2 linked regions of the Caenorhabditis elegans genome follow. The protein of the gene in region 1 purifies or fractionates together with the protein of each later gene. This does not show direct contact. Each region holds a gene or a part of one and is shown on either strand. Other genes may lie near its edges.

Region 1 (5,153 bases):
TCTCATCACATGCTCCAGAATGTTCTTTTCTGGAGCTCGAAACAGTCAACTACCTGAACTGTTTGCAATGATCTCAATCAGACAACTTACTCCGATTCCATCATTAATTTTCCTTGGTGGAACTTCAATCGTCATGCTCTTCATTGGTAACGTGTTCCAGCTTATTAACTATCTGTCATTTGCTGAATCACTCGTTGTTTTCTCTTCTGTCGCTGGGCTTTTGAAATTGAGATTCACAATGCCTGAAAATGTGCTAAACGCCCGTCCAATCAAAATCAGTCTCCTGTGGCCAATACTGTTTTTCCTTATGTGCCTCTTTCTTTTGATCCTTCCATTCTTCCACAGTGATCCATGGGAACTCATTTACGGAGTTTTCTTGGTACTTTCAGGAATTCCCATCTACGTTCTCTTCGTCTACAATAAATACCGTCCAGGATTCATTCAATCTGTGTGGATAGGCTTCACACATTTCATTCAAAAATTGTTCTATTGTGTCCCAGAACTCTCCAGTTCCTGAAAATTCTGTTTTATTGTCATATCCAAACCCGTGACTCTTTCCGTTGTTCTTTTTTATTTCCACAGTGTGCATTTTTTGTTTTTTTGTTTGGTTTTTTTTGCTCCCAGATCTTTCTGCGCTTCCGTTATCAAGCGGACATATCTCAAATTGACACAGCATTTTTTTGCTATTTTATCCGCTCCATATCTAAAATATATCTTTATGTCATCATTGAAAGTTTTGGTTTTTAGCACCTAATAACTTATTTTCTCGAATAGAAATAAAACGTTCTCAATTTTAAAATTGTTAATTATAAAGCAAAAAACATGCAAAACGTTTTAATTATTTACCCAGAGAGAGAGAGAGAGAGAGAGAGAGAGAGAGAGAGAGAGAGAGAGAGAGAGAGAGAGAGAGAGAGAGAGAGAGAGAGAGAGAGAGAGACAAGGAAAAATGATGTAGACAATGCACTGTCTCCTCATGTGGACAGTTGCCAAGTTCCGCTTCAATTTTAAGTTTTTTTGCTTCATTCATTTTGAAAATTTAATTGATATTCGAATTTTGAAAAAAAATAATCAAAACTTTTTTCCTTTGTGGATGTCTCTAAGATGCATAATTTTAAGAAGGTTTTCCAGTATAATTTTTTTAGTTTCAGAAAATTAACTGCTTAAAAAGAGCAAAATTAATGTACTCCTCAACGGTACACACTTCTTTTCCTTTTTTCTTATGTAACATTTTCATTCGTTTCGAGACCGGTTACCGTATTCTTTCTCCATAAATCTTCGCATTAGGGTAATATCTACAATTGTTATACCATTTAAAATTATTTGACTTACTATAAGAAGTATCGAACAATGCGGGAAACATTTTTAGCGCGAAATGTTTCCTATGTCCACGAAAAACGCGTCAGCAGTCTTCTATGCCCATTTCCTGTGGAGGAGTGAGACAGAGTGGACAAAAGGGAGAGTGAAAAGATACAGACAGAAACAAGGGTGAAAGGGGAATTTTTCATTTTACTTCTCTTCACGAATAAATTTAATTTTAAAATAGAATGGCTTTGTAACTTTTATATTGTTTTATCTATTACCATTTCTTTGCGCTTTTACACATCAAAAAACTCCCTATCAAGCTGATACCCTAGTCATATGATTGATAAGACAAGACAATAAGTCGAATTTTTTCACCGCAAAATATTTATTTAATTTTCCTTTCTAAATAGTTTTCCAAAATTTGTTTCAAAGAAGTCAGTTCAAAAGTACACCAGACATTTTAACTAGTGCCATTTGTTCTTTTGCTCAGGGTATACCTCGTCATTTATCTCTTCCAAATGTCTTGTCAATCACTGAAACATAACCCTGCTAGTATTTTTTTGAAAATCTCACCCTCATACACTCAACTGAAAGGGTAATTTATTGCTGTGAAGCATGTGTTTGGCACCCCAATCACTCTAGGGGGAGGGATCCCAGAATCTCGGTCTATGTCAGACACTATCAGTAAGAGCCGCACGGCCAACTGGATACACACACAAAATTCGCTAATATGTTCTTCAAACGAAGTACAAATTCTCGTAAAACATCGGCAAATTCAAGTTCTGATACGTCAACTTCTTCAGAATCATTATTGCTTCCACTTCTGAACAATACCAAAGCTGGAGCGCGTTCACAAAAAGGAAGTGTCCACCGACAAAGTGGCAAAAAAGGTTTGTGAAAATATTTTTTTTTTAAACGTGAACAACTTTAAATTGCTCTAGATTCATTGGATGTTTCAAATAAACAATTCAATTTGATAATTTTCCAGCCCGCCGAAAGATGATGGAAAATCCTTACGTGTGCAGTTTGGAACTCGACGAGCTCTCTGCCGATGATTCAATTATTGACTATTCGGTGTTCAGTGATGATTCGTTTCTTCTAATCTTGCTGCTTACGTCAAAAGGAGACGTTCAAGCTTATTTGGAGACAAGTCGAGACACAAAGCCAAGAAAAAACGTTGTAAATATCAAAACGGCATGCTCCCTCAATGTTAGCCCGGTTACTGTATGCATTGGTAAGTTGAATTGCTTAAATTAAACATTTAAATAATAAAAAACTTTGAGAAGTTAATTTTCAAAAACAAATTTTTTTTAATTCTCTAACCCTCAAGACAACTGCTGAAATTGTTTCTCCGACTTTTATGTTGTTGTTCTAGAGATATTTTATACTATCCAATCGGGAAACACCGTCTTTCAATGATTTCAAAATATCCAGAAACTCGTGGATCAGATTTTCTTATCTAAAACTTTCACGTGGCATGTTGTAATTCTAATAAATTTGAATTAAAAAAAAGATTAAGAGGAAGTTTTCACGTTTTGCAACGTGGAACATTAAGAACACAGATTCCTGAAAACTTGAAACACTTGTATCTTCTCAGTGGGTCTCTAAAAGATCTGAACATTTTACATAAATTTGTTTACTTGGTGCAGAAACTGAAGTTTAAGACTTTTCACATTCTAAAATGCATAGAAAAATAAACGATTTACTGAGAAGCATTTATCAACTAGTACAACGTTTTTGCCAATACCTAGTTTCAAAATGAGATTTGTATTATCCAACTCTTTCGGAAAACTAAACTATATTAAAGGTGTTATCTGGCATTCAAAACAAGAAAAAACTATGTTTTAGGAAGTCAAGCAGCATTCGCCATCTTTGGACTTGCTGATGGTAATCTTCTCGTTACTCCAATCAGGCTTCTTATCGTAAGTTCTTGATGTTAATTTGTGGTTTTAAAAACAAATGAAACCAAAAATCAGTTTCGATCAAAACTCATTATGTGTTACGTATCCACAGGATATCGAATTACATGTGTCAATTGTTCGAAAACAGAAAAACAAAAGAAACCGATAGTGTGTCATCTGTTTGTTTTCTGACTTTTCGTACCACAACGCTTCCAGATGATTCTCTTCCAGTATTACTTTGATAGATTACTTCTCATAATGACAAGAATTTCAACAAAAAACCCTGTTTGTTTTTCTAACTTTAAATTGTTCCAGGACGTGACGTGGGGTGGTTCCTCGTGGGCGACAACGACTGTAATTGATTTGAGTCTTCCAACAGTGGATCCTTGCCTGGCCACACCCACTTGCACTAAATGCTTCGTTTCCAATTTTCCACCGTGCACTATGGCTGTGGTTGCAAATAAAGTGAGTTTTATGTGATGAAACTTTGCGTTAGATGAGCCCATCACTCTTTTCGCATCAATAATTATCAATGTGATGTCCAGCGGTGTGAGAAGGGATATCTAATGTTGTGATTTACGGTGACAAAGAGATTGGAACGTCAGAATGGAATGCCATCATGAACGTGTTTTAAAAAGTGAATGGCAGCTGACTGCTCTTGTTTTATTATTTAGTTTCTGATGGAAAACAATAAAAAACATACAATTGTGCAACAAAACGAAACGAAAATATCTACAAAGATAACAACAATTAATGATAAATTGCAGGCTGGGAACATTCTTCTCGTCGATCTTCACCTCAGAAAATGTGTGTCCGAGTTGAAAGCACCGCAAAGTTTGCACCAGATTGACATTCTTCTTGATGAAAACTCTATCGAGTTGCTTGTCACGGGATTTACTGGTGCACAATGGATAATTCCAATTGAAAGAAGTGGAAAGGGATTTCGAGAAGTTTTGACAACATGCGTACCATCAGATCTTACTGTGGTAAGTTTTCTGAATCGCATATCACTGCTCTTATGTTTAAACTAATATTATAAGTTTAACAATACCTAAATTGTATTTTTTTAGGGGAAAGTTGCAGCTAAGGTTTTACACTAATTCTTTCGGGTACTGGATGAAAACGCTATGCTAATAGTTTAAAAGTTATAAACATAGGTCGTCTCTAAACAACACGAAATTCACATAGAAATTTTGATAATACCCTACCCGTTTAATTATAGCCTTAACAAATTAGTTGCCCAATTCAGATGTTTTCCGAGGCGGAGTTTTCGGGTTTCAGTCAGGTTTGTATCGCTGGCTCCTTCTCATTTGCAAAAAATGTTCTGTACACTTTTGTCGGCTTAAATGTTTTGATATATCTGCATTAACTAAAATTTCGGCTGACTTCGTGCCAAGCATGCTTTTATTTTATTTCTTCATGAATCTCTAAATATTTACAGCTCGAGCCGGCAACAATGCAGTTCTTTGCGGCGGATTCATGTGGTGTCGTTGCACTTGACACAACCGAATCAATTGTGGAAGTCTACAATACGTTTCATTCATTGGCACATTCTTCGAAACGAACATTCAAAGTACCTCCAGAGACTTGGATGGTGCATGCTGGTGATAATATGTTGTTCACAGTTTCGAATGATAATGAAATCAGAAGCGCTTTACATTTCGGAGTAAGAACAGAACTCGGGAGAAGAAAAATGAATTCAATATTGTTTTCAGTTCATGTCCAGTCGTCTGGAGTATACTCTTGTACGCACGTCCACTAACTGGCGTCCTCTCGGAATTGTAGCAATGCCATCTCGACCACACAAATTGGCTGGAATATTCGTAGTCAATGAGCGAGGTTTGGTTCGTGTGGAACAGTCGACTGCTTTGTAAGTTTTCTAACTTTTATTGTTGATCCACACTTGATGGGTTATGACAGCTATCAAAAATCAACAAGAATTATTGGACT
Region 2 (5,119 bases), 420 kb from region 1:
TTTAAATAATTATGAAATTTCATTTTTTCGATAAACATTGCAATTTTATTATATTTTTATAACAATAAAAATATGTGAACTTTTTGAACTATTTTGATTGTTTTAAATGGATTTTTTCAAGAGTCTCAATTATTTTCAGAAATTTTTAATAAATTATATTTAACAAAATAGATCAGTATAGACACTCTTGATGAATATCAGATGTTTCAGCAGTTGACAACATTGAAAGACATAACACTAGATCAAAAGTATTCAATTTTAATAGTTTTGGATACGCCACATTAATAAAATAATTTGCTGCAATAAAGTTTTAAAAAAACTTGATAAAATTTGGTGCTTATACGATTAATCACATACGTCACTGTTTACACCTTTCTTAATCCAAGATTTATTTATGTACCTACGTCTATTTTCGAATAGCTGAAAACAACTTTTCTATTTCAGTATACATATTTATATTTCAGATTGTTAATAACACTGCCATCAAACTCTTATAACAGGTAAATTTTAAGGTACTTAATACATACCGTATTTTAGAATATTGTTCAGATATCCCACAGCAAAAAAAAACAATCTGATTTGGATACCTCTCAAGAAATAACAAAAGCTTCTCCAAGCTGGCATATCTAATTTCAAATCTTTTTCCCTTTTTTCCGGACCCACACCCAATTTTCTCCTTCTTCTGTCCTCATCTCCGCTTTTCGACACTTCTCACAGATACACACACAAATACACGCACGGAGCCCTTCTTCTTCGTCCATCTAGGGACACCCGTCCCTTGCTCTCCGTTTCCATCTCCTTGCGTCCTATTTCTCATGTCTGACCGGCTGTCCATTACAAGCGAGTCTGTCTCCAACAAAGACAACACTATGTCTCGTTCTCTTTTCTCCGTTTTGGTTTCATCTCACTTTCTGTGTCTCTCTCACTTCTCTTCCTTTCTCAACAAAACGGGCGCATACCCTTTTACGGGGGGTGGGACCTTCTTCTCTTCGTCTCTTCTATGAATGTCCCTCGATTTTCGCAGATCAGCAAAATGATTCGGACAGGAAACTTAATTTCCCGGAGTTCTAGATTTTGTTCATTTATTTAAAAAAAACGTTTTTGTCTCGGAGAAATATCGTTTTGTGATCGGACAGAACAAGGGATAGGCACGTGGTTTGTGAGCGAACGGAAAACAGTAAAGTCTGTCAATATTGCTTTTGCTCGGCTTTATACTTTTTTATTCCTTGGTGAACAAAAATCTTTCACAATTTTCCCTTTTTCCTCTTTTCTTGTAATTTGGGTAATTTTCATTCAAACGCCTATAATATTTACGATAATTGAAAATTCAAAAAAAATTTCTTCAATTGGAGTTGGATTATCGTACCTAAATTATTCTTGAATAAGCGATCAAAGTAATTTCGCTTTCCTGCTAACTTCATCCGATTTTCTTCATTTTTTAAAGCTGCGATATGATTCGAACCTTTTTTTTGTCAAACTTTCAAATATTTTGTGACAAAAAGTAAGGATAAATGTTAAATTATTGCAATTTTCTTTCAAATCTTAAAAAAATCAAGAAAAATCCCACTGGCGCTACGTTCAAAATCACATCTGCGCATATACTAAGCCTGTGATCTTAAAATTTAGTTATTGTTTCATGGTTTTCTTTTCCTTCAATTTTCCTCATATTTCCTGAATGCACATAATTGCAGAGAAATTGACGCCTCAGAGTTTCTCTGTTATTTTTTTTTCTAAATGCCACAGTTAAATTTTTCAGATCACTAATGATGAGAATCAATCTATCCACAATATTTAACCAATTTTATTAACTTTCCAAAGAATATCCAAATGTCGTTCTTCTTGCGAGAAATTGATGGTGAACGAGTGTGTTCCACGAGCACCGAAACGTCGATTCCTGAAGATAGGAAAAGTGCACGAAGACTGAGAAAATTGCTATACAAATGTGCCGAGAACACATGCAAACCGGATATTCTCAGGGTTCCAGCACATTGCGGGAAACTCGATAAAGAAGAAGGTTAGTATATTTTTTTGTAGTTTGGAGAAGTATAAAATAATAAAAATAAAAATAATTTTTAATTTCAGAGAAATCCAAAACACCTCTGGACCAGCAACAACAAATTAATTTTCATGATATTCTGAACTCAAAATTTGTTGTGGGACCACCTTCGCCTTTTGCTTTAGTAGCAATTGCCAAATCAATTCTTGCACGGTTTGGGAATCCAGAAGAAGTTTCTGAAAAAGAAGATGGAAGCGAAGAGGAAGCCGGAACCAGTGGAGCTGATGAAGAGGGAAAGCAATACAAAAATGTGAGTTTTTATAATGTTAAAAAGTATTAAATGAAAAATACATTGAAATTTCTAATTAAGTTTCAAAGTCAACAGCCAAATTTTTTCTAAATTTTTTTTCGAAACGTAGTTAAGAAGCTTGCAAAACTGGGACATAGGTCGGCAAGGAAACCAGAAAAAACAATTATGAAACCGTGTTTTACACATTGACGATATCCCCCCAGCTAGATTCAAAATTGTTTCCTTTTTAAACGCTAAAAATAGAATATGGTTTGAAAAATAATTATTTGAAATTGAACCGGTGAGTAATAAAACAATTTTGGAATACTAAATTACCATAAATTTCAAAATGGAACTGAACATATAACTCTACAACTTTTTGGAACCCGTGTGTGAAATACTTTTTCTTATTAAAAACTGTTTTAAAAGGTGAAAAATGGTTCAGCTCTCATGAATTTTCAGACTGATCAGCTGGTTGGAGCTAGTTTAACATGTATCTTCGAAGTTCTCGAGCAATTAAGTCGACGTGACGCCGAACTTTGTGTTCAAGCTCTCGAATCATTGTTATCATTGATCCAATCGATGCCAATCGATTGTCTTCAGTCCGAAAACCGTTTATCAATGTCTGCAATGATGCACGTTCTGAAAACGCTTCGAGAAGATGCCTGTCCCTCAGTGAGCTCAAAAGCTACCTCATGCCTTGTGGCTTTATCAGTTGCATGTGGAGAGCCGGAGCATTTAGGAAGCACAATTCGATCATTAATTTGTATGAAGAAAAATATTCGAATGAGCGCCGATTCGACGTATGATATGATCCAAATGCCAGAAAATTTGAGAAAATTACTACTGAAAGTGAGGAGGAAAGCTTTAGGCGGAGACAACACTGCCAATTCCCCGTGAGTATTTTATTCAAGTTGAAAGTATTCAAATATGTAGTATTGTGTTCACAAATTTCTTCTTTTAGTAGAATTTCTTAGAAGCTTGCAAAATCCCATGATAGTTTTATTAGTATTTTATTAAATGCAAAATTTCAGACCAAACTGGGCAATGGTAGATGTTCACGAGCACTCGGTAGCAAGCAGTTTCAGTCTACCTAGTCTTCCTGATAGCTCTCCGTCTTCCGACACTCCCGACGATGACAATCGAATACATAGCACAATGGCATGTGATGGAACATTTCTCTACATTCTTAATTATGTTGGACTCTACAAGTTGGGGACCGGCCTGAATGAAACAATTTCTGGAAAGTTGTATGCAGCGAATCAGAGTTTACAATCGTCGAAAAATGTGCAAATGTATTTATGCAATGGATCATTGTATTTACGAAGAAATTACTCATCATGCATATCAGTGATTGACACGGATTCATTGTTGGATATTGGAGAAGTGATTCTACCACCAAGTTGTGTACAACATGCACTGTTCACGGATGGAACATACTTTTACAGTGCAACTCTGATTGCCAATTCTACACTATCGGTAGGATTTATTCTCTCAAATTAAAAATTAAGATATTTAATTGAAACTATTTTTAAACACTTTTAATCGTGAAAATTCTACTTATTGTTAGAAATAAAAACACATAACATGACAGCTCAAAAAAGTTTATAAATAACATATTTCAGACAATTCAACTAAATGATTCATTTTCCCCTTCCAATGAGCCATCATCACGAAGAAGTCATCGACTCACTGATGTGAAGTTCACGATTCAAGGAGATCTTCAAGTTCCTCACCAACTCCCCGAATTTCTACCTGCAAACCTTCATCGTAAGAATAGTAGTTTTGTTTACATGGAAATTTGAACATATCAATTTTCAGCTCAAACTGTTGATCTTCACTTCACTCGAGAAATGGCATTCATTCAAGCTCGCTCTGGAAAAGTGTACTACGCTGGAAACGGGACAAGGTTCGGATTATTTGAAACTGGGAACAACTGGATGGAACTGTGTCTTCCCGAGCCAATAGTTCAAATTTCTGTTGGAATTGATACAATAATGTTTCGTTCTGGTGCAGGGCATGGTTGGATTGCAAGTGTAGACGATAAGAAAAGAAATGGAAGACTACGTCGACTTGTTCCATCTAATCGCCGGAAAATTGTTCATGTTTGCGCCTCTGGTCATGTCTATGGATATGTATCTGAAAATGGAAAGATTTTCATGGGAGGACTTCATACAATGAGAGTGAATGTTTCAAGTCAAATGTTAAATGGACTGGATAATGTGATGATTTCTTCATTAGCGCTTGGAAAATCTCACGGTGTTGCTGTGACTCGAAATGGCCATCTTTTTACATGGGGATTGAACAATATGAATCAATGTGGAAGAGTTGAATCAACTTCAACCACGTCTTCTCCAAGACATTCCGGTCGTCAAGAGTATCAGATTTGTCCTATCGGAGAACACACGTGGCTAACTGACACACCCTCGGTATGTGCTCAATGCGGGCTTTGCTCCGCACGAGGAGTAGCATGTGGAAGAGTTCCTCGACCAAAGGGAACCATGTGTCATTGCGGTGTTGGAGAGTCAACATGCCTTCGATGTGGACTTTGCAGACCATGTGGAGAGGTTACAGAACCAGCACAGCCTGGTAGAGCTCAGCATGTGCAATTCAGTTCAACAGCTGCTCCTCAAAGAAGTACTCTACATCCGTCACGTGTAATTTTAAGTCAAGGACCTCATGATGTAAAAGTTTCAAGCGTAAGCTGTGGAAATTTTCATACAGTACTTCTTGCATCTGATCGAAGAGTTTTCACTTTTGGATCCAACTGCCATGGCCAATTAGGAGTTGGAGATACACTTAGCAAAAACACTCCGCAGCAAGTCATTCTTCCA

The links.
Region 2: the proteins of glo-4 (region 1) and rpm-1 purify together in Caenorhabditis elegans (affinity purification with western blotting, with the first as the bait; one study listed by BioGRID). This does not show direct contact.

What each region holds. Positions count from the first base shown.
Region 1 is NC_003283.11:9,240,044-9,245,196, reverse strand, and holds the start of glo-4 (X-linked retinitis pigmentosa GTPase regulator homolog), read left to right. Parts: upstream 1-1,975; 5' UTR 1,976-2,032; coding exon 2,033-2,192; intron 2,193-2,290; coding exon 2,291-2,536; intron 2,537-3,150; coding exon 3,151-3,224; intron 3,225-3,518; coding exon 3,519-3,668; intron 3,669-3,970; coding exon 3,971-4,189; intron 4,190-4,644; coding exon 4,645-4,869; intron 4,870-4,918; coding exon 4,919-5,073; intron 5,074-5,153. Other genes in the region: aat-2 (Amino Acid Transporter), read left to right, coding at 1-517. UniProt on the Caenorhabditis elegans protein: Could be a guanine-nucleotide releasing factor for glo-1. May play a role in gut granule biogenesis. Regulates axon termination in PLM and ALM neurons.
Region 2 is NC_003283.11:8,816,664-8,821,782, reverse strand, and holds the start of rpm-1 (E3 ubiquitin-protein ligase rpm-1), read left to right. Parts: upstream 1-1,827; coding exon 1,828-2,014; intron 2,015-2,082; coding exon 2,083-2,306; intron 2,307-2,747; coding exon 2,748-3,181; intron 3,182-3,319; coding exon 3,320-3,764; intron 3,765-3,910; coding exon 3,911-4,055; intron 4,056-4,106; coding exon 4,107-5,119.